Arabidopsis thaliana: one gene and its partners. The protein of the gene in region 3 interacts with the protein of the main gene of each other region in a pairwise test. Each region holds a gene or a part of one and is shown on either strand. Other genes may lie near its edges.

The links. The genes of interacting proteins can lie anywhere in the genome.
Region 1: the proteins of AT2G22880 (region 3) and PDE337 interact in a two-hybrid assay, tested with the Arabidopsis thaliana proteins (one study listed by BioGRID).
Region 2: the proteins of AT2G22880 (region 3) and AT3G22160 interact in a two-hybrid assay, tested with the Arabidopsis thaliana proteins (one study listed by BioGRID).

The regions. Positions count from the first base shown.
Region 1 is NC_003070.9:25,658,812-25,666,661, forward strand, and holds PDE337 (VQ motif-containing protein), read right to left. Parts: upstream 3,466-7,850; 5' UTR 3,369-3,465; coding exon 2,910-3,368; 3' UTR 2,676-2,909; downstream 1-2,675. Other genes in the region: AT1G68440 (uncharacterized protein), read left to right, coding at 1-224.
Region 2 is NC_003074.8:7,815,104-7,823,386, forward strand, and holds AT3G22160 (VQ motif-containing protein), read right to left. Parts: upstream 3,883-8,283; 5' UTR 3,624-3,882; coding exon 3,045-3,623; 3' UTR 2,676-3,044; downstream 1-2,675. Other genes in the region: AT3G22150 (Tetratricopeptide repeat (TPR)-like superfamily protein), read left to right, coding at 1-387; FHY3 (far-red elongated hypocotyls 3), read right to left, coding at 7,256-7,312, 7,398-7,442, 7,536-7,604, 7,701-7,769, 7,844-7,912, 7,997-8,053, 8,158-8,283. UniProt on the Arabidopsis thaliana protein: May function as positive regulator of plant growth.
Region 3 is NC_003071.7:9,736,490-9,744,129, forward strand, and holds AT2G22880 (VQ motif-containing protein), read right to left. Parts: upstream 4,975-7,640; coding exon 4,630-4,974; downstream 1-4,629. Other genes in the region: PSK2 (phytosulfokine 2 precursor), read left to right, coding at 1,177-1,299, 1,448-1,588; EMB2001 (P-loop containing nucleoside triphosphate hydrolases superfamily protein), read left to right, coding at 2,987-3,446, 3,540-3,609, 3,973-4,135, 4,223-4,432; AT2G22890 (Kua-ubiquitin conjugating enzyme hybrid localization domain-containing protein), read right to left, coding at 6,011-6,850.

The sequences.
Region 1 (7,850 bases), on a different chromosome or scaffold from region 3:
GTTTTCGGATGCCGGCTTTGCTCGCGGAGTGGAGGCAGCCGGGGCGGTTGTTAGGGAATATAATCGGAGTTGATACCGGTGGTGTGGAGAAAGTATACGTCAGGGATGATGTTAGCGGAGAGATAGCCGTGGGAGATTTGAGGAAGTTTAACGGTGTGTTGACGGACTTGACGGAATGTGAGGCTGAGACTTGGTGGGACGCTGACGTCCTTATCTCGGGCTGATGGAATCCTTGACGAGAGAAAATATTGGTTGGGACGGTTTTGTCTTAAAGTTAAGAGGACGGACGAAAGATTCAACGCCAAAAAGAAGTGTTAAAGATTAATGAGAACGACGCAACGTTTTGTAAATAATTTGTCTGTTTGCTTCTCTGCGATTTTTATTTTAAAATTTTAGTTTTGATTGAATAAAAATCAGCGTCAGATTAATAAAAGTGTTTGTGTGTTTGGTCGGTTACTAGTTCACTTGTTCTCTGGCTCCATGTGAAGTGAAGCCACTACCCAATGTGGCTGGTTACGAGTTTTCTAATAGGTTTGGAATTAAGTGATGTGATTAAAATATGACAGAAAGTCAGAAATCACAAAAAGAACAAATATAATATTGAAGATAATTCAGGATATATATTATACTAACATAATAGAAACTTGAAAAGATAACCATAACATTAAAACCCAAAAAAAAAAAAAAGATTAACCAATCCGACTTTATTTTTAAAAATAGGCCAAACATTTCTTTCATCATAATCTTCTTGGTGTAGATGTCACAATACAGATCAGATAGTTATTCCGGGGAATTTCATGCCTGAATCGATCAACCAGAACTTTCATACCTACGGTGGAGTAACCCGAGTAGTGCCCGTTCATGCAGATGAGTTTTTTTTTTCTGCCCGAACAAGAAAAAACTCTTCAAAAAAAGTTAAATAATTGATCTGATTTTAATTGAACACATATGTATTATTGTTATTATCGTATATTTCAATATGATTAATTTACTCAAATCATCAAATTACACGACAATTAATTATTCGTATAGAAGACAGAAACGTGTTGATCGAAACACATTATAGGGAAGTGAAAAGCTAAGGATGTGCGAGACGTTTTGGGAGCCACGTTTCTTTATTCGTGTGGTTCACATTTGCACGCAAACAATTCTCTTCAAGCATATAATTAACAAAAAAAAAGCTTTAGTTTTACAACTTTTTTTTTTTTTTTTTTTTTTTGATAAACCCTATCGGCTGATCCGGTTAGCCCCGGTAGAAACGCACCAAAGTACTTCAAAGTGGACTTCTCCCCGAAGGACCACCACACTGTCTATCCCGAGTTTGGATGATTTCCGACTAATGCCAGGGGGTAGTCAGGCCGCCTGCATTTCTGACTACCAGGTAAACCAATTGGGCCAAAGCCCAACTGACAGACTTCCCAAACAAATGTGATTTCTGTTTCCAGGGAAAGTTAGTTTTACATTTTACACCCGACTGCTTTTTGAATTATGAAAGATATTCGTATGTTTCGTGTTCTATGGAAGTAAGTGAACCGGGTTGTTTGGAAAAGTGATTTCGAGTTAAGATGGCATAATGTTTTTTGCTTTACAACAATGATTTAAAAACTGTATCGGACTGGCTAGTCGGACCAATTTAAAAACTGTATCGGACTGGGTAGTCGGACCAATTTAAAACTATACTGTTTTAGAAAACTTAACATTAAAAGGTAAAAACAATAAAAAAAATTCTCAACCTCTAAACAAAAATGCTTCCAATTTTAATTGATATGAAACATGAAACATTTTTGTAACCCATGAGATTACCCAATTTAGATGGCCAACTAGTTGACCAAGTTAAATACTTCTTTCATGAAATTTCCAATGGCTCTTTCTTCATAATACTTCTTTCATTTTTGGAATATTGCATGTAGGTACACCATGCAGTTTAGAGTCAATATTCATTGAAGATTTGAAAAGAGAATGTAATTATTTATTGGAGTGTCACTTCGAAAAGTAGATGTAGATTTGTGGACTAACAAAAAAGAAAACAAATACAAGAATTGTAAGTAGATGAGGAAATCAATATCATGATTACATAGTGGGGGGAAAAAACATAGTGGCATGAATGATTTTTTTTTTTTTTTTTTGTCAACATGGCATGTTGATAACGGGCCTAGGATCTATATATGACAAATATAGAGATAAATATGTTTTAATAAGTTATTTGGGCTCAGGAAGAGGGCCCTAAAGGTCTATAACAAAATTATATCAAGAAAAGGACTCTTTTTTTAGCCTCTCCTGATGGTCTCAGTTTCAGATGAACTATCAATTTGTTGAGGTGAACATGCTACACTTAACAAAATAAAACACAATTTATTTAATTGTATGCCATTAGTTTCCAGTTTTTTCTACTTGGTTTTAATGTTTCCAAAATTTCTACTACTGTTTTACTTTGGGGAGGCTACTAGAAATCAATAAAAATAACTAATACTCATCTCCACCTTCAGTTTTACATTTTTTCTAGTTATAAAACTTCCTCAAAGAATTGTTAAGATGGCACATAGACCGTCATTAGAAAAACTTTCTAAGATGAGCTTGAAGCTCATTTTAATGCGAAGCCCAATAATGCATTTCTGGTCTTCAAATATTTTGTTGAAGCCCACACGTTGTCGCTGAGATTTATGGAATAATTTATGTAAAAAGAACAGGTAAACCCTTAACTTTCATGTTTAAAACAACCAAATACAGATATTAAGTGACATTGTTTTTAGTTTGTAAAGTTAAGTGACATTTACACCAACTAATCACAGTGAAACAACTTATGAACGAACGAATGAACAAACCAATTGTATACATATAAAATAGAAATCATAAAAGCATATTTTATGGGAAGTCTTATTGGAACTTTTTTTTTTTTTTGCTAAGAAGTCTTATTCGGACTTAAAAACCAAGGGTCGAAATGAATCGGTCCGGTTCGGTGACATATACATAAGTTGAGTTGGAGAACCAAACAAGGTCATCGAGCTCGGTGTGAACAACGGCATATCAGTTAACTTCTGTCGTTGTGTTCTATCCTGACTAAACGGAGCCGCCGTGTTATCATCCCCGACGTTAACCTCTTCCGTCACAACAGAAGAGGAAGATTCACTAGTGTTCCGTCTAATAATCTCGTCTAGACCCGTCAGCCTTTGAACCAGGGCCATGAAGTCTTCGGCACGCGTGTGGATCACTTTTGGAGAATGCGCGTAGATGATAACCGGAGATGCCCGTCCATGTGGTCGTGGCTTCGACTTGCAAGACGACGTTTTCTTGATGGTGTGGGATTCTCCGGCGAGTTTTAGCGACGAAGGACGTGAGCCGTTGATCTCATTGCATCTTGTTGGAATCATGGTAGGTGAATATATCAAGAGAATGGAGAATGAAAGATCAAGAAAGCTTTGAAAATAAACAGAGTTCTTGTTGATATAATACGTATATATGTAGAATTACATTTGCGTGTAAGTATGGTTAAAACTAAATAAATCGTATTTTATTGCAGCCAACGATTCTGACCGTTGACTTTATTTATTTACGATTACAGTTTTATAGTAAAACGGCCGTTGTCGTTGAATAGTATTATAACATGCCTCAGGTATATCCTGTTGATTATTAATTTCTAACACATCAAAAACTCAAGGGCCGAAAATCTTGAATTGCTCTTTTTTTATATGAAATTGCAAGCATTCCCCTTTGCAACTTTTCCACTTCTTCAAAAATTTAAAATATAGTTCAAGCGATTTTAGTTATTTCAGAAATAAATTGCAATATTATTTTGGTGGAGATGTCTTCATATTTGGTCATCTTTGAATATTACTGGCTGTGACCATGCAAGGTTGGCTGCAGATGGTTGAAATGGATTTACTTCTCTCCTTTTACGTAATAAGAAATTTATGAAAATGTTCAAAACTATCGGCTTTTAAAAGTATAAAATAAATAATTAAACCTACTTACAGGCAGCTGAAACCATTAATCTATTTGTTATCCCCAAATTGCTGGGTATTATAAATTATATCATGGACATTGTTTTCTTGTATATATACATTAATTCACCCTGTTGAAATAAATAAACAACAGACGATATTTCTTTTGCAATTGGGCAATTTAAAATCTTACGTACCTATTTTTAGACAGAATCGGCTAATTGAGCTTCTTGTATGTGAATATCAATATCCTCCTACTCTGAATTTTTGCTTGAAAAGAAGATAAATGTTCTGTAATGAAAAAATGTATGAAACTTCTTTTCTTCGAGAAAAAAAGATGTACGAGTTTCGGCTAACAATCATCGATACGTTCAATGATTGCAACAACTAACAAGTAGCTCGGGCTATTTAACACAGTTTCCTAACTACAAGTATACAAAATATATTTGTTTTTTTGTCCGCTTAATTAACTATAATACTCCATGTCCGATGAGAAATCGAACACAACTTGTAAAACACTTATTGTTTATCAAAAGTCAAAAGCCTTTTTGTACATATTAAACTTTCCATTACTAAACCAAAATAGTTTTTTTGTTTTTGTTTTGTATCAATGTTGTTAAACCAAAATAGTTTTGTGAAATAACAAGAGTCACAAGACTTACAAAGTCAGCCTCTTTGTCCTCATCGATCCGTTAAAGACCTATTAGCAACTACTAGTTGGTACATACATAGATTATAATATACTTTCACCAGCATGATATAACTCACACTTATCATCTTATTCAAAGGGCTTACCATACCCAGAGAATCGAAAACAAATAAAAAACTTAATCCAACCCCAAAACCACTCTTGTAGTCCTTTTTCCTTAGCTTAGATTGTAATTTTTTTTTTTTTTTCGTTTTTTTTAGCAGTTTTCATTCAATTTTTCTAGTGAGTTTTAACTAGAATCTCCATTTGATGCACAATATGCACCAACAAAATCTTGTGCAACACCACATGTTAGCTTGTAACACACAAATATTTCCTTATGGGTTCTAACTAGAAATTAAGAAAGAAAGAAAAAATCTGGTCCAGATGCTATCAGTAATCCTGGTAAGCCCAAAAATGAGCCCAAATATCATCAGGTAAGATGAAGTAAACACATTTGTACGGATGAAAGCCCGAGCAACAAGTCACAAGCCAAAACTTATATAGAATTTTAAATTGGAAAAGCTGAGACCTCGAGATTATAGGATCACGCGTAAACACACCACCGCACGCGTACTATTGCATCATGTAGCTAACATTTGGATCTAACTCTGCCTATTGTTATTGTTTAGGCACTGTCATATTTAATGGAACCAAATTATTATGCGTCGGGAAAGAAAAACTCAAATAAATTAATACTACTACTTGAAGGACCGATTCAATTTTCAATAAAATTTGGCCTTTATTTCAATATTTCTTACACACCTCGGATCTCTCCCATCTACTGTTTGTTTTTTTTGTCTGTTCGTTGTCCCTTACGTTTGTACGTACATTTCTTTGTTATTTTAATATGCTTTAAAATTAACTTATTTCTAAAACAGTTTTTACTTGCTTCAAGCAACAGCATTTTCCTAATATAAACATATGATCACGCATGTCAGTTTCTTGTTTCACGTTATACAAATGCGTGTAAATGGTTTTCATTAAACTAAGCTTAATGGATACATTGTTTTTGGGTCGGAAATTTTAGTTCACTTGTCTTCTTTTTATTTCCCACTTTTCTACTACAAATTAAACTATACTCAACATCCACACATCTTGACGAATTTTTGATTGATACTTATTTTTGTATTTAAACTTGAATTTTTGCTAGGTTGAGAAAGATAAACTAAATTCGATAATTCAAAGTAAAAAATGTCTAATCTTGTAAACACTTTAAAAAGTGATATGTGGCGCATACTACATTAACATTTTACCTTAAATGATTTTCAGGAGTGTTATAAATAGAGGAGCTGATGAATTGTAAAGGAGATGGACTATTGTTGTAGTAAAAACATACTATTACGATCAATACAAAAAAAACTATTTGCTATTTATTACTGCTCTGCGATTCAATATATAATTTGTATTACGAGACCAAAAATTTATAGATTATTAAGTACGGATTCGATATCCACACTAGTCTGAAACACAATCAGTTTGCCTGATCTATACTTATCAGGATTGGATTGGAAGTCTTCCTTTAAATATGATGGGGATGGAATAGAGACTGGAAATGTGATTCCTATTGATATGGTGTTATAATCATGAAGCAAAAAATGTGGATAAAAAATTTGATCAACATAAATAGTCTTTCAACTGGTTTCAAATTTGTAAAGTAATATATGTGGAATATGTTTTTACTCTATGCGAACTATTTTTGTTGATCTTGGTTCTAAATTCAGCAATTTTTGTTTTTTTCATTTAGTCCATTACTAAGTACCAAAATGGAACACAAAACTTGATGAGTGGATTGAATGATTTTCTTTGTATTGTTAATATTTGGATGAAGATAAACCCTTGTGTAATACTAAACATAACGACCATTAGTCACAACCAAACCATGCATGTCATAATTAGTTTTCAACAAATTCATTAGTTATAGCATGTGTTAGAAGTTTGACTTTTAGTTAGTTTATCTTTCTTTGACATAAGTGTTTTGACTTTTTAAGTTTGACTTTATAAAACATGCAGAAATGTACATAGAATATTTGTATATAAAATAGAGGCCACGAGACTGATAGAAAAAAGGTACAAAGAATCCCGTACGTTGATCGTAGACCTTATTGTAACAAAGAGCGAATAATCTTACAGAGTTTGATAAAATTATATTCTCATTCGATGCAAAGCTGTCATTTTGCATGCATTTAGACGATTTGGGGATAAAGAGAATCATCCTTTAATTTCAAATTGGATTTGTGAAATAATATGGCGACATCAGGTAAAACCACTCGATGTCATCAAACCGTATATATTTCAATTATAGAGATATTACTTCTTCTTGTTTCTTCAAAAACATTTCTTGTTGTATTTCTTAATATGTAGTGTCATATAGATCTAGTCCTTAGAACCATGGACATATTAAAATACAACAATTCTAAACTTTGATCCATCCAGTAATGTGCTTAGCTAATCTCATATTGTCATCCCATACAACCTCTCGGTATATTCTTAACAAATGTGGTAGCCATTTTCTTATTGGTAAGATAGTTCATAAATCTCTTATTTTTTTATATTTTTTTTTTTGTAAACCAGTTCATAAATCTCTAAACTTCATGATTTGATAATTGGCTTATTCATTTGAAATGACAATGCATCCACCCAATAAATAAATTCAATTACTACAAAATAAAAATAAGAAGAAATATTTTCTTTTACCAAAAATTTACATACTGAAGTTTGAAAACGGTTTATGACACAAACTGTAATATCAATACAAACCATTACTGCAATACGCTACGTGCTTTAATTATAGAAAACAACAATATAATGTCATTATCTGCTTTCTAAAGTATATTATACCATGTTTGCGTTTGGCGTGAGTGAAACTAAAGCTATACACACCGAAAAAAACCAACATCTTATGACTATTTTTCTCATCAAACAAAAATATCCATAACGAACTCATCTCTAAATAATATATTTATTTAAAAATCTCTATTCACTTTTTGCAAAACCAACAATATGATAAAATTTAAGCATAGTAGTTTAGAGTAAGGCTTTAAATTTGTCTTGCTGAATATGATGCTTTCTACTTCTTTAATTAAATTTCAATTTCATCTTCTTAAATTTTTAATTCTATTCAGCAGCTAAAAAAAAACAGTGATTAATAGATTTACATTACAAAATAACATATATATGTGACAAAATAATTTGTCAAATAAAAATCTGCCAATTGAAATATA
Region 2 (8,283 bases), on a different chromosome or scaffold from region 3:
CTATGGGGTTCACTACTCGGGTCTTGTAAACTACACGGTGAGCTTGAGCTTGCTGAAACTGTTTCGGAGAGGTTGGCTAAATTTGATAAAGGGAAGAACTTTTCCGGGTATGAGGTTTTGCTCTCGAATATGTATGCTGAGGAACAAAAATGGAAGAGCGTTGATAAGGTGAGGAGAGGAATGAGAGAAAAAGGTTTAAAGAAAGAAGTTGGTCGTAGTGGGATTGAAATTGCAGGTTACGTCAACTGTTTTGTGTCTAGAGATCAAGAGCATCCTCATTCTAGTGAGATTTATGATGTAATCGACGGTTTGGCTAAAGATATGAGAGGCGATTCGTTTCTGACAACATTGCCAACTGTTACTCCAAGTTTGGAATTGGATGAGTGAAGAGTGCCAGTAACTCTTTAGCTCTCACAGAACATGGAGATAAAAGCAAGAGGTGATTCAAGGCCTTAAAAAGTGAGTAAGCCTTCAAAAACTCTCATTTCTTTGCTTTCTGAAGCTTTTTTGTTGGTGACATAGAAGCAACTCTTTATGGTGATAAACACTCTTGTTCATCATTGTCTTCAGTAATTGTTCTAACACCATTAGTCATGACTGGAATCGAAACTCGACCCGACAGGAGATGGAGATTTAAACCCATTGTGCAGTTTGGTCTTTGTATACACTATTACAAGCTAATCATAAAGAAGGCAGAGGAGAAACTGGAAACAAAGAAATGTAGATAAACCAACATCATTGTAGTTTCCTTGCTCTCATCTTCACTCTAGGCATCTTCTCGTGTATACTTAAAGTTTTAAATATTATAATTATTTTCATTTTTTCATAATTTAAAATCTTTAAACAAATGATGAATGGAATTGGATTTTTATTTTTTGTACAAAACAAAAATAAATTTATATAACAAAATCATTGCCTAATTATATAAAAAGTGATTATAAACAGCAAAATTATTGCCTAATTAAATAAAGAAAATTAAAAATAATGGCCTAATTTAAACATAGAGTTTTTACAATTTTATTTTATTTATATACACATTTTAATGTGGTGGAAGAGCCTATATTTTGATTTACACATGTGATTTATAGTCAAATACCAAATGAGGAGTTTGAAAATTACATGACCATCTAAAAACTAGAGTACAACCACTAGTCCACCACTACATAAACTTATAAGAAATATCTATATACAAAAGTACATGCATTTTTGATACAACTACTCTAAAAACTGGTAGTTGAAAGAATTTTAGAAAGTTCAATTCAAACCAACAATGTGTTTCCAATCACTTGCTAGTCTAATTGTTAAACAGGTATTTTAAAGCTTTTCAATATAATTTTCATAAGTTAATTTTACATGATACATAAACATTATAATTTATCAAAATATTAGTATTACTGAACTTGAATGAACTTTATATTTCTGTACATATTGTTTTTTACTAATTTATTAAATTTAATTTTTTTTTTTGCTAATAATGTAAATATTCATTGATGATGAAATTAGAAAATTAATTCATTTTGTAGAATACATGAACTCATTTGAAACATGAACATTACTGATGTGGAGTAGTGATATATAATTTAGTTACAACATACGAATCTTTAAAGATAAAGATTCTTAGTCTTTAAAAATGTTTTGTAAGTGGTTATTGAACTCAAAATGTAAACTTAAGAAATGCAAAATAAAGTGAAATTTCACTGTAAGGGGGTATATATATAGGACCCACAATGTGTTGAGATTCATCCCCTCTTCCCAATCCATTTCTTACTCATTTTTTGTCATATTGTCAATTTATTATTCCTTTATATTATTTATATCTTTATCATCTACAAGAAACACGACTACGGCATGCTAAATTATTCTCTTTCGTTTAATTTGTGGACTTATCGTAAGAATCTAAAATCTAAAGACAAATGCCAAAGAAAAAAAAAAAAAAATCTAAAGACATATACTCATAAGTTATCCATTGTGAATGCGAGGCTTTGGTTTATTTGCCAAACTCTATATTACATCGATCGATTTTACGTCAAAGACCCGTCTCAGTCTAAATCATAAATACAAATTACAATCATAATCAATATTAGGTCGAGGGATTTAAAGGAAAAGAAAAAAAACGATAACGTAAGAATCTAGACATGTTGGTAGCCTAACTTCACCAAAACACTATATATCTCCTTGTTTCCGAACGAAAGGCAAGTTTGGTTTTCTATATGATCCAATAGACTAATTTTCTCCATATTTTACTGTTAAAGATTATTCTGGTCCCTCAATATATTTTAGTAAGTTTCAGAATTTAAAGCCGAATAATTTGTGAAAAGGAAATGGCTAATCACTGTTTTTCTTTCGACAAGTCATATGAAAATATATTGTGCGGTGCCATGAGAAAAAGTTACATTATAAAGCTCGATATTCTCAATTATTGCACTAATTTGGTAAAGTTACATTCACATTAATTTCATGTATCTGAAACTATTCTATCCAATAAGAATACAAAACTTTGAGATAAGCTAATTGCCAATTTCCTCCATTTTATGCACGTTTTATATGCATTCTTTGACTAATGTATGAGAATTATATCTTTGCACATGCACTTGAGAACTTCACGTGAAAATGTTTGATTTCTTGTATATGTGATTGTGTTCTAGTTTTAATTGAACTTTAAGTCTAATAAATTATTAGAAGTATAAATTCCATCTAATCTATGAATAATAATTTATTTTCTTGAGATTAAAAAAATATAAGGATTTGTTTGGAAAACATTTTTATTTATTTTTCTAATCGACAATTTGCAGTTTGAAAATGCAAGCATGCAACTTCAGCATTGAATTATATGCCTATTTAGGTCCATGATAACGCCATAATTAAATAAAAAACTTATGCTAAAAACCTAAAACAAAGATAAAATCTCCAAATATGAAAGAAAAAAACTTAAATATACAAAAAGTCAAAGTTTTCATTCTATGACAAAGAAAGTCAGTACCTAACATTTCTGCCTTTATGCGAAAACCAAAAAAAAAAAATTCAAAAAGAATCCAATCGTTTTCTCATTGCAACCTCGAAGAAGAAGAATTACTATTCGTAGCCTCCTTTGACGACGGAGCAGAACCTCCTCCACCAGAACCATCCACCGTCCCAAACACACCGGAAACCATCGTATTAGGGTTGTTCATGTTACTATATCCAACCACGGGATTCACGTTGTTCAAAGAAAACATGTAAGGCCGTTGCGGTGGCTGAAGCGGCGCGTGAGGCTGGAAATTATATTGCCAAGGAGCTTGTTGAGAAGATCCAGCTGATGGATCCGACGATGAAGTGAGGCTAAAAGCAGAAGTAGTATTACCGGACCCGAAAGCCATAGCGGATGGACCGCCAGTGTATTGCTGAACCATGGCACGGAAGTTGGAAGTGTCGGTGTTGAGAAGCGTTGTTGGTGTTCTACGTGAGGCTCTGGACCTTCTACGTGTTGGCTTGGTTACACGGCCAGTTTCTGGACTCAGACGAGAGTCTATGGAGGTGGTATCACCGGCAGTGGTGGTTGTAACAGCGGTTGAAGCGGTGGTAGAAGTTGTGAAGAAGGTTTGGTTATTGTTGTAGAACTGAGACCACTCGTTGGGGTTAGCCATTTTTGTGTGTGTCTAAAGACAAGACTCCGTGAGATTGTAAGAAAGAAAAAAGCATTTGCCTTCGTTAGTTCTTTATATATTTATTTGATTGTGTTTTGATTAAGACTTAGTCAAAGGAAAGACTATTCTATATCAATCCTGACCGTTGATATTTAATTACACGTTGATTTTTTGGCTTTACATTTCATTCTTAATTGCCAAAAAAAAAAGGTTGTAACTATTTTACGTACTTTATTAATACAATGTTTAATTTGATTCGATAATATCATGATTTGGAAAATAATAAAATAATAGACCTCACGAAGTTACAATTAGTTGAGTCTTACCAATAAACTAGAGTTTAGTTTGGTATTGGCTACTTTCCCAACAAGTTGACGAAATTGGCCCATTTCACTGTATTTGTATGCTTTTGTTGAAATACTTAACAAGTCCCTCACTTTACATAATCGTCACAAAGCTGACGGCATATACATTTCTTAACGAAACGTTAAGATATTCATAATAACGTTGCTTCTTGCCTGCTTAGTGCTTAGTGTAGTAGCCGTTCTATATAGCACACTAGGTACTTAATATGCTTAGTGTAGTAGCCATATTATATGGCACGAATTAAATAACGACGGTCGTACGATAATAACGACATGACATTTGCTATATATTATACATGGGTATCATATTTAAATATCGACGTAAATAAAATATGATACACTCTCGGCTGTGATTGTATATATTGCGAACCAATATATCCGTTTCTTTGAAGATCGTTGCGACATGAACCAAAAGAAGATTGTGAAGGCAAATCTTTCTCTGCTTCCAAATATTGTTGATTACAACTTGTGGAACCACTTTCTTAAAAGAAGCAATTGGGAGATCTCTTTGTATTTGTCATTGTTCAAGCCGATTATTAAGGAATATTATCTATGTATGATCATAGATAGTCAAGACATTAGAAGGTCATTAACAAAAAGATTCAAGAGCTTGGTAGCTAGCTAAGAATAGTTGTAACCATATGATGTTAAGAAAAGTGTTTGTATTATCAAATTTCGTAGGAAATTCAAGATATGTCATGTGAAGTTTCTTATACCCTTGAGGGCTATTAATTAGTTAAGATAATGATTCTTTAAATCTAGTGTGGTTAATAAACTAAAGAAAGATTAGTTACTACTAGTATTTTCATAATGTGTATGTATCATTTACGTAATTTATTAAGAATGAGTGGACACAAATTAATTGACTGGTTAGGTGACTTTGGAATGAAAAGACGACCGAAAAGGAAACTAGTGAGAAATTTCAAAGAAAACCATAATCTGATTCTGACGTTGCGATGCGTAATAGGAACTACATCATCCTTCTCTTTCTTCTGTTTGTTACAAATTCTGCATCCATCAAATATATAATAGACATGTAAAGAGGGAGAGTACTTTCCATGGAAATTTTGTTATGAACTAAAACTTTGTAAAGTTTAGGGTGTATTGAAAAAATCGATACTTTTATAAACGAAATATAGGATAAGGATTAGTTTACGTTTATAAATTCGAGATAAGGGATTTAATTTTATTCTTACACTAATAAAAGCGGTTTTGTGGTAGAGAAAAAAATCTAAAAAAAAGGTTGTGTAGTATAGAAAAAGAACATTAATTTTGTTTTTTTTTCTCTACCACACAACCCCTTTTATTAGTGTAAGAATAAGATTAAATTTTTTATTTTAGAATTTATAAACATAAACTATTCCTTATTTTATATTTCGTTTTTAAACGAAATCTCTTTATTCACATTAAATATAAGAGTTGTGTGCATTGTTTTCCTAGGGATTCATAAAACAACAACCTAAGAAAGGGATTTCGTTTGACAGACATTTGATAATGTCTATGTATGAATAAAATATGAGGTGTTTTGTTGGATCAATTATGGGATTGACACAAAAAACTTTATCCTATTGTTGGATGCGGCATTTTTTAAAGTGATTACAAGATTGAGTACTTTATTTCCTTTTGATTATCTATTTTACCTTTTTCAATTTAGCAAGTAGCAATATGCACTTTTAATTTGCAAACTGAATCTAGATCGCAAATTTGTCATCCGAGAGGAATGCATATTTGATTTTCGATCTGAAGATTGCCCACCAAAAACACCAATTAGATGATATTTACAGAAGAATCGAGATTCTTTTAGTTAATTTAGGATTGTTTAAAAAAAAATATGCATGTATGCACAATACCAAAACCGAAAATTCCCTTATAAATCCGTGAAATTTGTTGTTTGGGTTCTCTATATACTATCACCTTAGGGTTTAATTTTCGTGATTAAAAACGATTGAAATTTTCTGGAAAAATAAAGGAAGAAAATCAACAAAGAGAAGAAGAAACGAAGATGAACAACGAAGAAGAAGAACAGACAGAGGCAAAATAGTCCATTTATATATCAGCAAGTACCCATTTTCGTAAGCCAATTAAAAATGTTCCTTTTTTCTAATTTTTGGGCTAAAAAGTACCCAAATTAACAAAAGCCCCGTGTTTTGTTATTTACCAAAACATCTCAGATTTTAAGTACATTTTAATTAAGGGTTTATGAGTACAATTGTACGATCTTTAAGGATTTAGAGTATAGACTTTCTTTTTTTAACTTAAGGCAGCAAAACGTGTCATATCGGACCTAATGTATCGAATGTTTGTGAAGTGTTTAAAAAAAAAAAAAACACTATGTTTGAATGTAGGGAATGACCTAGAAATTAGAATAAGTTTTTACATGTGACCAGAATTTTTTTGGAACAATAAACGAAAAATGAGTCTCAATTGCAAGAGAGTCTTGCTTGATATGTAAGAAAAAAAGCATTTTCCTTAGGCCACTAAAAAATAATCAAATAAAACGCCACATTTTTTTTCTACATATATCACATTTTTAATGTGTTTTAGGACTTTATTTTGAAAACAAAATTCATCTCTTTAACATTTATAGAAATTTTTGTTTGTTTTTTTACATTAAATTACTAAATCGTATTTATTCATTAATGTTTTTTTTAATAACAGTATTTAAATAATTTCTTCTATACAAAATAGAATGTTAGGCCACATTTTAATAATTTGCCTAAAAGCTCTATTTGCCAAAAGAAGAGAAAAATTGTTTATGATTACTCAAAAATAATAATAATAAATTTATGATCCTTCTCTGATTTTAAAGAATTTTATATTTATACTATGTAACCCTCTCTCCTCTCTTCAACAAGATTCAAACCGCCAATAGCATACCACAATTTTGTTTGTAATTTGGGCAAGATTAATCACAAGATACAAATTTGAGAAACCTAATCAAGAGAATTAACAAGAGTTTACAAATAGAGAATATTCTTGTAACACTGTTTCTTCACCTCTTAAATCGAACAGTCAAATGATCAAACATATGATCATCAGAACTAATACAAACAATATTAACAGAATCGAATCTCTGAGAATAAAGGCGAAACAATACAACATCCTATTTTTAACACTTGAGAAGATAAAACAGAGCTTTGGCTCATGTTCTGTTCCAAACCTAACCGCGTCCTAGTGCTCGTTGGCTTTTGTTCTCCGAGATTTGAATCTTTCATCCACAGACTGACGACTCTTAAGATTTGATTCGTGGTTAACTTATAGTTTTGTTTACGAGTGTCTAGACGCGTCCTCATGCAACTGCGTAGTCCTCACATTAGGATCATCCTGCACAGAAATCACCATGAACTAAGATGACCAATTGATACAAACAGGAAAAAGAAAGATCTTTTATTACAACTGCAATAGTTACCCGGATGTCGTAAGAAAAATTGGCAGGCCTGAAGAAATCTACTCCCTAGAAAGAACAAAGTAAGATTTTACTTTTTTGGCAGTCTTGTTACAAGATTGACAAAACTTATGAAAGCATTGAGAATAGGTATGTAGGTACCTGTCCATGGATGCCTTGCTGAGGACCGTAGTAACTGTCGTAGCTTGGTGCTATCGAGTTCAACTGTCGCTACAGAAAACCAGCCGGAATTGTTTTTTTATCCAAAGTTAATGAAATAGAAAACAGCAGAAGCTACTTATACACATGTCATGGTCGATTTCATACCAATCCTTGCATTGTTTGTTGATTCCCATAGAAATTATCGCGAGTTGGCCCCATTAAGTTCAGCTGGACCTGTAAAAACACATATCAAAACAGATTACATACGTATCTAGATAATAATATGAACGTATGTTGTGCTTAATTACCATTCCTTGTACGCTCTGCTGTGTTCCATAATAGCTTTCAATGCCAACCGTCCTTGGGCTCAGCTTATCCTGCAATTACAAAATTCAGATATGACATACTTAGGCGACTTGTGTTTAAAAGAGGCTTGCCACGACATGTCAACAAAGACAGACCATCTGTTGCAAGCTTTCTGGCGCTGCAACTGGCATAACATCCTGCTCTGGGTTCACCTGAAATTAGTATTTGGTATCATCAAATTTGCAAAGCATAAAAGCGCAAAGCGAACAAAATCCATAAGCTGTCTGCACAGAGAGATCGTAAACAAGTAAGTTACTTTTCTTTTCTTAGTTGGATTCTTTTTCTTGCTGGTTTTGCCTGCACTTCTGCTATGGTTGTCCTCCTCCACAGAAATCAGACCTTGAGTTGGTGACGTTACAACATCTGGAAGACTTCTGCCGGA
Region 3 (7,640 bases):
GAATAAAATGAAAGTAGTGCTTGGTACATTATTATGATTTTTATTTATTGAATGTTTTTGAGAAAATTCATTTAAGAGTGAGATTAATGGAGAATTTAACACAACAAAAGACTTTTGATTTTTTCTCAATTAGTTTTGCTAGTTGAACCAATCCAACAAGTTAACTCACAAACCAATCAATAATTTCTTATTTTATTTTATTTTTATGAAGTTTGGTGCATTAATTTATAGAAGCAACGAGACATGCATGGCTATGTCCTAGCGAACATAGAGTAGTAGTTTATACAAGTATACCAAAGCTAAACCAGTCTCGTGAACTATATATATACGTCAACACCGAAACTTTGGAAATGTATAATACTTGTATAGTTAGTCTCTGTGTCTGATATTAAATTGTACATAAATTTCTTTATGATTACAGTTTTTTTTTCCCCCGATTTATTTGACACGGTTTGGGTTATATATATGATTAGTCACACACCGACTTGTAATATACTCTCCAATACACGCTTTTAAATTTGGTGCGTTCCAAACGGATGATAAGAACACCATGTCACACTAATCGGGTAGGGACGTCCACTAACCATATTGACAGTTGTATCAACTACAACTACACCATATATAACGGTAGATCCATTGCATTCGTGTGGAATCTATAGTGTTTATATTTGCATATATCATGTCAAATGATATTTTGCTAATGTAGGTAGGTGACGCCATAGAACTTTTGAATATATTAATATGGAATCAATGCTTTTAAGAAGTGGATGGTGATTATCATTTATCACTCTATCATCCCACGTTTCATACACGCTGCGACTTATATTTTGATTTACTTTTCTTATGGGTTTGGTCCAATTCCACCGCTAAACACTATGCACAAGTGCAAACAAATATTTAATTAAATTCAACTTCCGATTTAATCGGTCATTCAAATGAGACTAATGAGTCCACCAAACTCCACAATTAGATACCCATAAATAAAATAGAAAATTCGAGGTTATCAACGTGCGATAAGATCCACTTTTTGGGTTATATAATAACTAAATAAATGAACAAAACAAAAATAGATTTGACTAAAATTTGGCTATAAATAAATTTGAGTTTCAAAGAAGCCAAACCCGTCAACACATCTTCTTTAAGCATCTCTCTCCCTTCAAAGAAAATATCACAAAAATGGCAAACGTCTCCGCTTTGCTCACCATAGCTCTTCTCCTTTGCTCCACGCTAATGTGCACTGCCCGCCCCGAACCGGCCATCTCCATCTCTATCACGACTGCTGCCGATCCATGTAACATGGTTAGTCTGATTCACATGCCATGCATGAATCAATTTCCATATATAAACACAAAATAACCAATATCAGAGCTTCTAAATTTTTAAAAATATTTAACACATCGAATAGGTTTAATAAATTTTTTGTAATGTATGATGATTACTTTGGCAGGAGAAGAAGATAGAAGGAAAATTAGATGACATGCATATGGTAGACGAAAACTGTGGTGCAGACGACGAAGATTGCTTAATGAGGAGGACTTTGGTCGCTCATACTGATTACATCTATACCCAGAAGAAGAAGCATCCTTGATTTTCACTTACTCATTTCTAACAAACTTTTGCTCAAGATTATGTAATTTATGTCATCCTTAATTAGTATTTGTCACATACAAGATCAAGATAGTTATGATTGTGATTATTTATATGTATTTTGGATGATATATTGTAGAACTAGAAGTTTGACAATAAAAAGTTTATAGTGTCGTTGTATGTTTAAGAAGTTTGACAATAAAAACTTTATAGTGTTGTTGCATATATGTGTTGAAAACTCATTAAAAACACACACACACATGAAGTACGCGTATATTTATAAATAAACTATAAAATTGAGAGTGGATTCATGGAATCTTTTTTATTGAAAATACATGTTGGCTTGTTTGATTAGTTGAGAGACTGCTAAACATTTATTTCATATAACTAGCAAAGATCGATATATCGTCGTGTACACAAAAGTACTACTGTATATGTTTGATCGAATCTGAAGAACCAAATTTATATTTTCAGACTGATTGTGTATATGGTCTCGTAATATACAATCATATGATAATTAGCCATCACTAATGTAGTCATGTCTTTATGCTGAAAGAGTGTAGAGACTCTGCCGTCATAATGCAGCTGTTAACTACGAGAGCGAAGCTAAATATTTTTGAAAAGCTCCCACTTCAATCGAACGGAGGGAAAAACCTCTTGCGCATGGAATAGAGTAGTCAACAATCATTTGTAATTGTAATAGAAAAAACTAGTTTAATTAGAAATTGAGCATCAAATTTAAACAGCTCTGTAAAATTTTCTAATTGTAATAAGAAATTTTTGTTATATCTGTCTTAAAATATACACCAAAGGTAGACACAATATCTCCTACAAGTGCACATTCAACTTCTAGATATAGACAAAGTTCCAAACTTATAATAAGTTTTTTTGCAAAGTTATTGGTTATAATTAAGTTTAATTGGTTTATCAATGGGTAAAGTATACAGTAAACTGATTAAACCTAGCTATGTGGGTTATAGATCTCGAACTATTTACTCGAAGTACATTAAGTTATAGAACTTTCATTTCGGAGAAAATAAGGATAAAACTTTTATTTTATAGACATATGAACTAGAGTTAAAATATATGAGCTCTATCTACTGATACTTTTTATGAGAAAATAGACCTTTTTTCTAAAATTATCTTTGATGAAAATTTTGTTTGGTACTCCAACATGTGTACAAAAGTTGCGCTAGATCAAAACATATGTAAGTAACACAACTTATGACATTCTTGATTGCAAAATTAGTTAAAATCTAGTTGTTTTTATATTATTGTTGACACAAAAAAAAATGTCAGCATATGAAAGCCTCCGTCTGAAGCAGAAGGAACGACTCTGGTCTAAAACTCTAAAAACCCTATCTTCTTCGTTCTAAACCCAAAACACACACAAAACAAAATGGTGCTACTTCTCCGATATCGATCCTTAACGATAAATCTCACTCCTCTAATACCCAAATCTCAAAAATTCCACACTCTCCAATCATTTCGTAACCCTAATTTCATCTCCATCCCAAAAATCTCAGCCTCCACGAACAATCCAACAACAACAACGAATCGGTCGATCTCCGACGCGACTAAATTCGCTAAGTCAGTGTTATTCATACCTCCTGGTGTAGAGATTGAGGAACTAACAGATGATATGGTTCTTCCGGGTTCAAATATCGTAATCGGACCTTTTGCGGGTCATTCACAAATCAAAGAAGTTGAATTTGTTAAAAGTAGTGCTCGTGCTAGAGATTGTCCTAAAGATGATCGTCCTGAGATTGCGATTTTGGGTCGTTCTAATGTTGGCAAGTCTTCGCTTATCAATTGTTTGGTTCGTAAGAAAGAAGTTGCTCTTACTTCTAAGAAACCTGGTTTGTGTTTTTATTCCTTTCAATTTGGTTATAAAAATCGAACCTTTTAAGTTTTGGAAATCTGAAAGTTTGGATTTTTATTTGGTGAAACAGGGAAGACTCAGCTTATAAATCACTTCTTGGTGAATAAGAGTTGGTACATTGTGGATTTGCCTGGTTATGGGTATGTGTTTTGATCTCTTGCTTTTGGATAAAACAATCAGTTTTCTTTGGCTAAATTTGGTATATTTCAGTTCATTTTGGTAAAATTTAGGATAAGAGTTCGGTATTTTTGGTTTGGTAGTTCGATTGGCTTAGTTCTGAACTGGTACATTTGGATAAAATTTCAGTTTAGTATAGTCTATTAGTAATTTTACTTAAACTTAGAATTAAGTTTTGGTAAATTTAGTAAGGTGGTTCCGAACCGAACCGGTTGAGTTGGCTAACTCGGTTTGAACTGATACATAGTGGATTTGGATATGTATTTGTTGATATCTTGCTTTCAGATAAACGTTATTATTGTTTGATGTTGAGAATATATTTGCAGATTTGCTAAAGTTTCAGATGCTGCGAAAACAGATTGGTCTGCGTTTACTAAAGGTTACTTCTTGAATAGAGACAGTCTTGTTTGTGTTCTACTTCTCATCGATGCAAGTGTTCCTCCTCAGAAGATTGATCTTGATTGTGCTAATTGGCTTGGTCGCAACAATGTATGTGGTACCAATTCTGGCTTTTGTGTGTTCAGTGAAATGTTGCTTTGAGGACTTGTTAAATGACGTTTTTCGATGATTTTTCAGGTACCGATGACTTTCGTGTTTACGAAATGCGATAAAATGAAAGCAACGAAAGGGAAAAGACCTGATGAGAACATTAAAGCTTTCCAACAAATCATTAGAGAGAATTTTAAAGTACATCCTCCTTGGATTTTGACGAGTAGTGTATCTGGTTTAGGCAGAGACGAGCTTCTTCTTCACATGTCGCAGCTGAGAAACTACTGGGATCAATAGGTAGCGCGTAAATTTCGTAAACAAATGTTCGAAAAGGTCGGTTTTGAATCATTGGTTATATCAAATTGTAGTTTTGTAATGTAACAGTAACTTTTGTATTTAAAGATAAGATCATAAAGTGTTACTACTACAGTTCTAATTCTGATGAAACAAATTCATGAATTGCCGAAAAATTGGCAAGAATAGCTTCTTTCTTGCTACCATCTTGATAGATTAGCAGGACTAAGCAGAGGGAAAGCTTCCCAGAACCGAGATGACGAAGGTGAAAGATCAAACGCGAACGGATTATCCTTAGCTGTTGTTGTATCATCAGAAATCTTGACTGGTTTAGCTTCAACTTGATGTACCTCTTGCTCAACGTCTTCTGCACCAGTTAGCCTCTGAACTAACTCCTTGAAGTTAACAGGCTCGACTCTGTAAACTTTAGGATGCATCCTCTGAGGCAAGCCCGTTACGGGTTTTTTCCATGGCTTTGCCGGTTGCTTACGGGTCGAATGAAGTGAGGAGTTATGAGAGAAACATGGTTGTGAAGTAGCTTCCATGACGATCAGAAGTTTCTGTAATACACAAATGATTTGAAGCGAAGTGTCTTACCTTGATGGCTTTGTGTGTACACATATAAGTATTTATAAGTGTGTGGACGGCATTATTATGTCAACGTTTTGAAGCGTGTAAGTCATTTTGGGTTTTATGATCTTCTTTTGCGGCTTACTTGGTTTTTGACTTTTAAGTGAAATGAATGGGAACGAGATGGGATGATTCATGGAATTGAAATGTCAACGTGGGTGTGCTAACTATTTTTATTTTCTTGTTTATTTAAATGTTAGGTGAAAAGCAATGAGTACATTTTTGGATTAACGTAGTTTTTGTTAAAAAATAATCTAGATGACATGGCAACGGTGTCATTAGTAACATGGCATTCATGTCATCATTATCATCAAATATGTGGTATCTAACGTCAGCAGAATATATAATTTTGCATATAATTTGATAAATTAGGTATGTAATTTAATTTTATTTAAAAGATTAAGTATATATTAACGCATAAGAAATTATTAGATATAAATTAAACATTTGAACTTTGGTTGGGTGGTATGAAATAAGGTTGTGCCTTAATTAGTTACCTTCCGTTAGGATCCTGAAAACTGTTTAGGTCCACAACTACACAATATAACAAGCAAACAAAACTTTTGCTTCCGAGTGTCAGAGTAAAAGCAATAATGTAAAGAGATATCTCGATAAGTGATGAGACTCAATTATCCGCATAGAAAAAAAAAATATGTATAACGGAGAAAGATATCCTATCTACAAACCTTGAATATCACTTTCCATACAATGCAAACATTTTAGAAATTGTTACATTTACCCAAAAATGATATATTAAACTTATCAAATCTATCACAATTGTGATCTACATGTTTTTAAGTAAAAGAAAACATTTGGTTTTTGACATATTATATCTTAAACTAAATATAAATTAATCTCGAAGCCGCGGCTAAAAAATCGAGTTTTTCCCACTTAAAGCGAAGAATATAGCTAAAAGTGACGGCTAACATTTGGATATGTCGGTTTCTTCCGTCATTCGTAGTTTGGCTCGGTCCATGACCTCGGTCTCACCCCAAGTTGGATATACAACACCATCTCCATTGCCTTAAAGACATTGCTTTCATCCAAAACCTTGTTCCACACCCCACTCACTACGCAGTAATTGTTGTTATACGGTGCTCGGTGATGATTCATGTGATGTATCCGTGAAACAAGAAGCCCAATGTCTTGCAACCCAACCACAAGAGGTGGAAGCTTGCTCTTCGTTCCATGAGCCCAAGCATGGAACAACTGACAAAACAATACACAAAATGCAAACATGCTTACAAAGCCATGAACCACATGGTCATCAAAAGCAAGGTCTAGTGGGAGAACTATCAAGGTTGTGCCTCGAGCCATAAAATGTAGATTGTTTGCAAATTGCCGTTTGGTGATTGTCCATGGACACTTGTGATGATCTTGAGAGTCTTCGATATGGATTCCTACTAGAGGCGTAGACTCATCACCGTAGTTATCGGTGGCCCAGTGGTACACACCAGAACCTAGATCTGCTAAGATATACCCGGCGAAACCGGCTAAAGATGGTTCGAGCCAGAGATGAGAACCAAATGCTCCAATGATTGATTTGGAAAAAGAGACAAACACGGTGGTGCAGCCAGCTGCAACCCATAACCGGTGAGTCCATGTAGATTGTAGAGTTGGGTCGTTGGAGAGAGGAGGATTCACAAGTCGTTGCTCAACAACAAGCTTCATCTCATGGTTAGGCTGAGAGTTGGTGGTGGAAGTGACACGGAGAAACGATGGACGGTGGCTTCTTGGGATGTTGTTTGTGATGGGATTTAGAGTGTATTTGGTTTGAAGAGATGTAGCCATTGAAGCAGAGTATGTGATGTCTGAAAAGATATATCAAGTTTCTTGTTTTTTTTTCCAAAGCTAAATAAAACAAGGATATGTTTTTTTTTGTGACAGGATAAAAAAATCATTTAAAAGAGATAATTTTGACCAAAGAAAGTAAGAGAGTATTGAGATAATAACATTCAAAGAAAATCTCAAAAAATTTGGATTAATTTATGAAGTTACCAACTAAAACCTAACATTAAAAAGTATTATTAAACCCAAAATTACTCGTTAATACAGATTTCTATATATATTTATTTTTTCTTTAGAGAAAACTTTAGGAATAAAAAAACATTTACTTGGAGATGCGTTAAAACAAAAATAAAATATTCACTTGGTTTAGAGATATGAATTGGGTATATAATCAAGGAAATATCAACCACCATCAAAGGAACCAAATCACCAAAAGCATATAGAGTTCTTCATAACCACACACACACATATTAGGATGACAAGCTAATCCAATACATTATCTCTGGTTTTGATTAGGAAGAAGATTTTAAATGCATTTTCCAAGAATCCCATAAATAAGTTCAAGTGCCACCAAAGGCGTTTTATTACAAACCATAAAATAGAAGATTACAAACACAAAAGAGGTTCGTGTATAACTCATATGACATATTTCATTACAAACATAAATGTTTCCCATATAATTGGAGAAATTGTGAGAGATGTGTTCAACAAGTACTTACGGTGACTACTCTACTTGTTTCCACAACACTTAGTTCGTGAACCACAATAATATGTCCAATCACCAATCTCACTC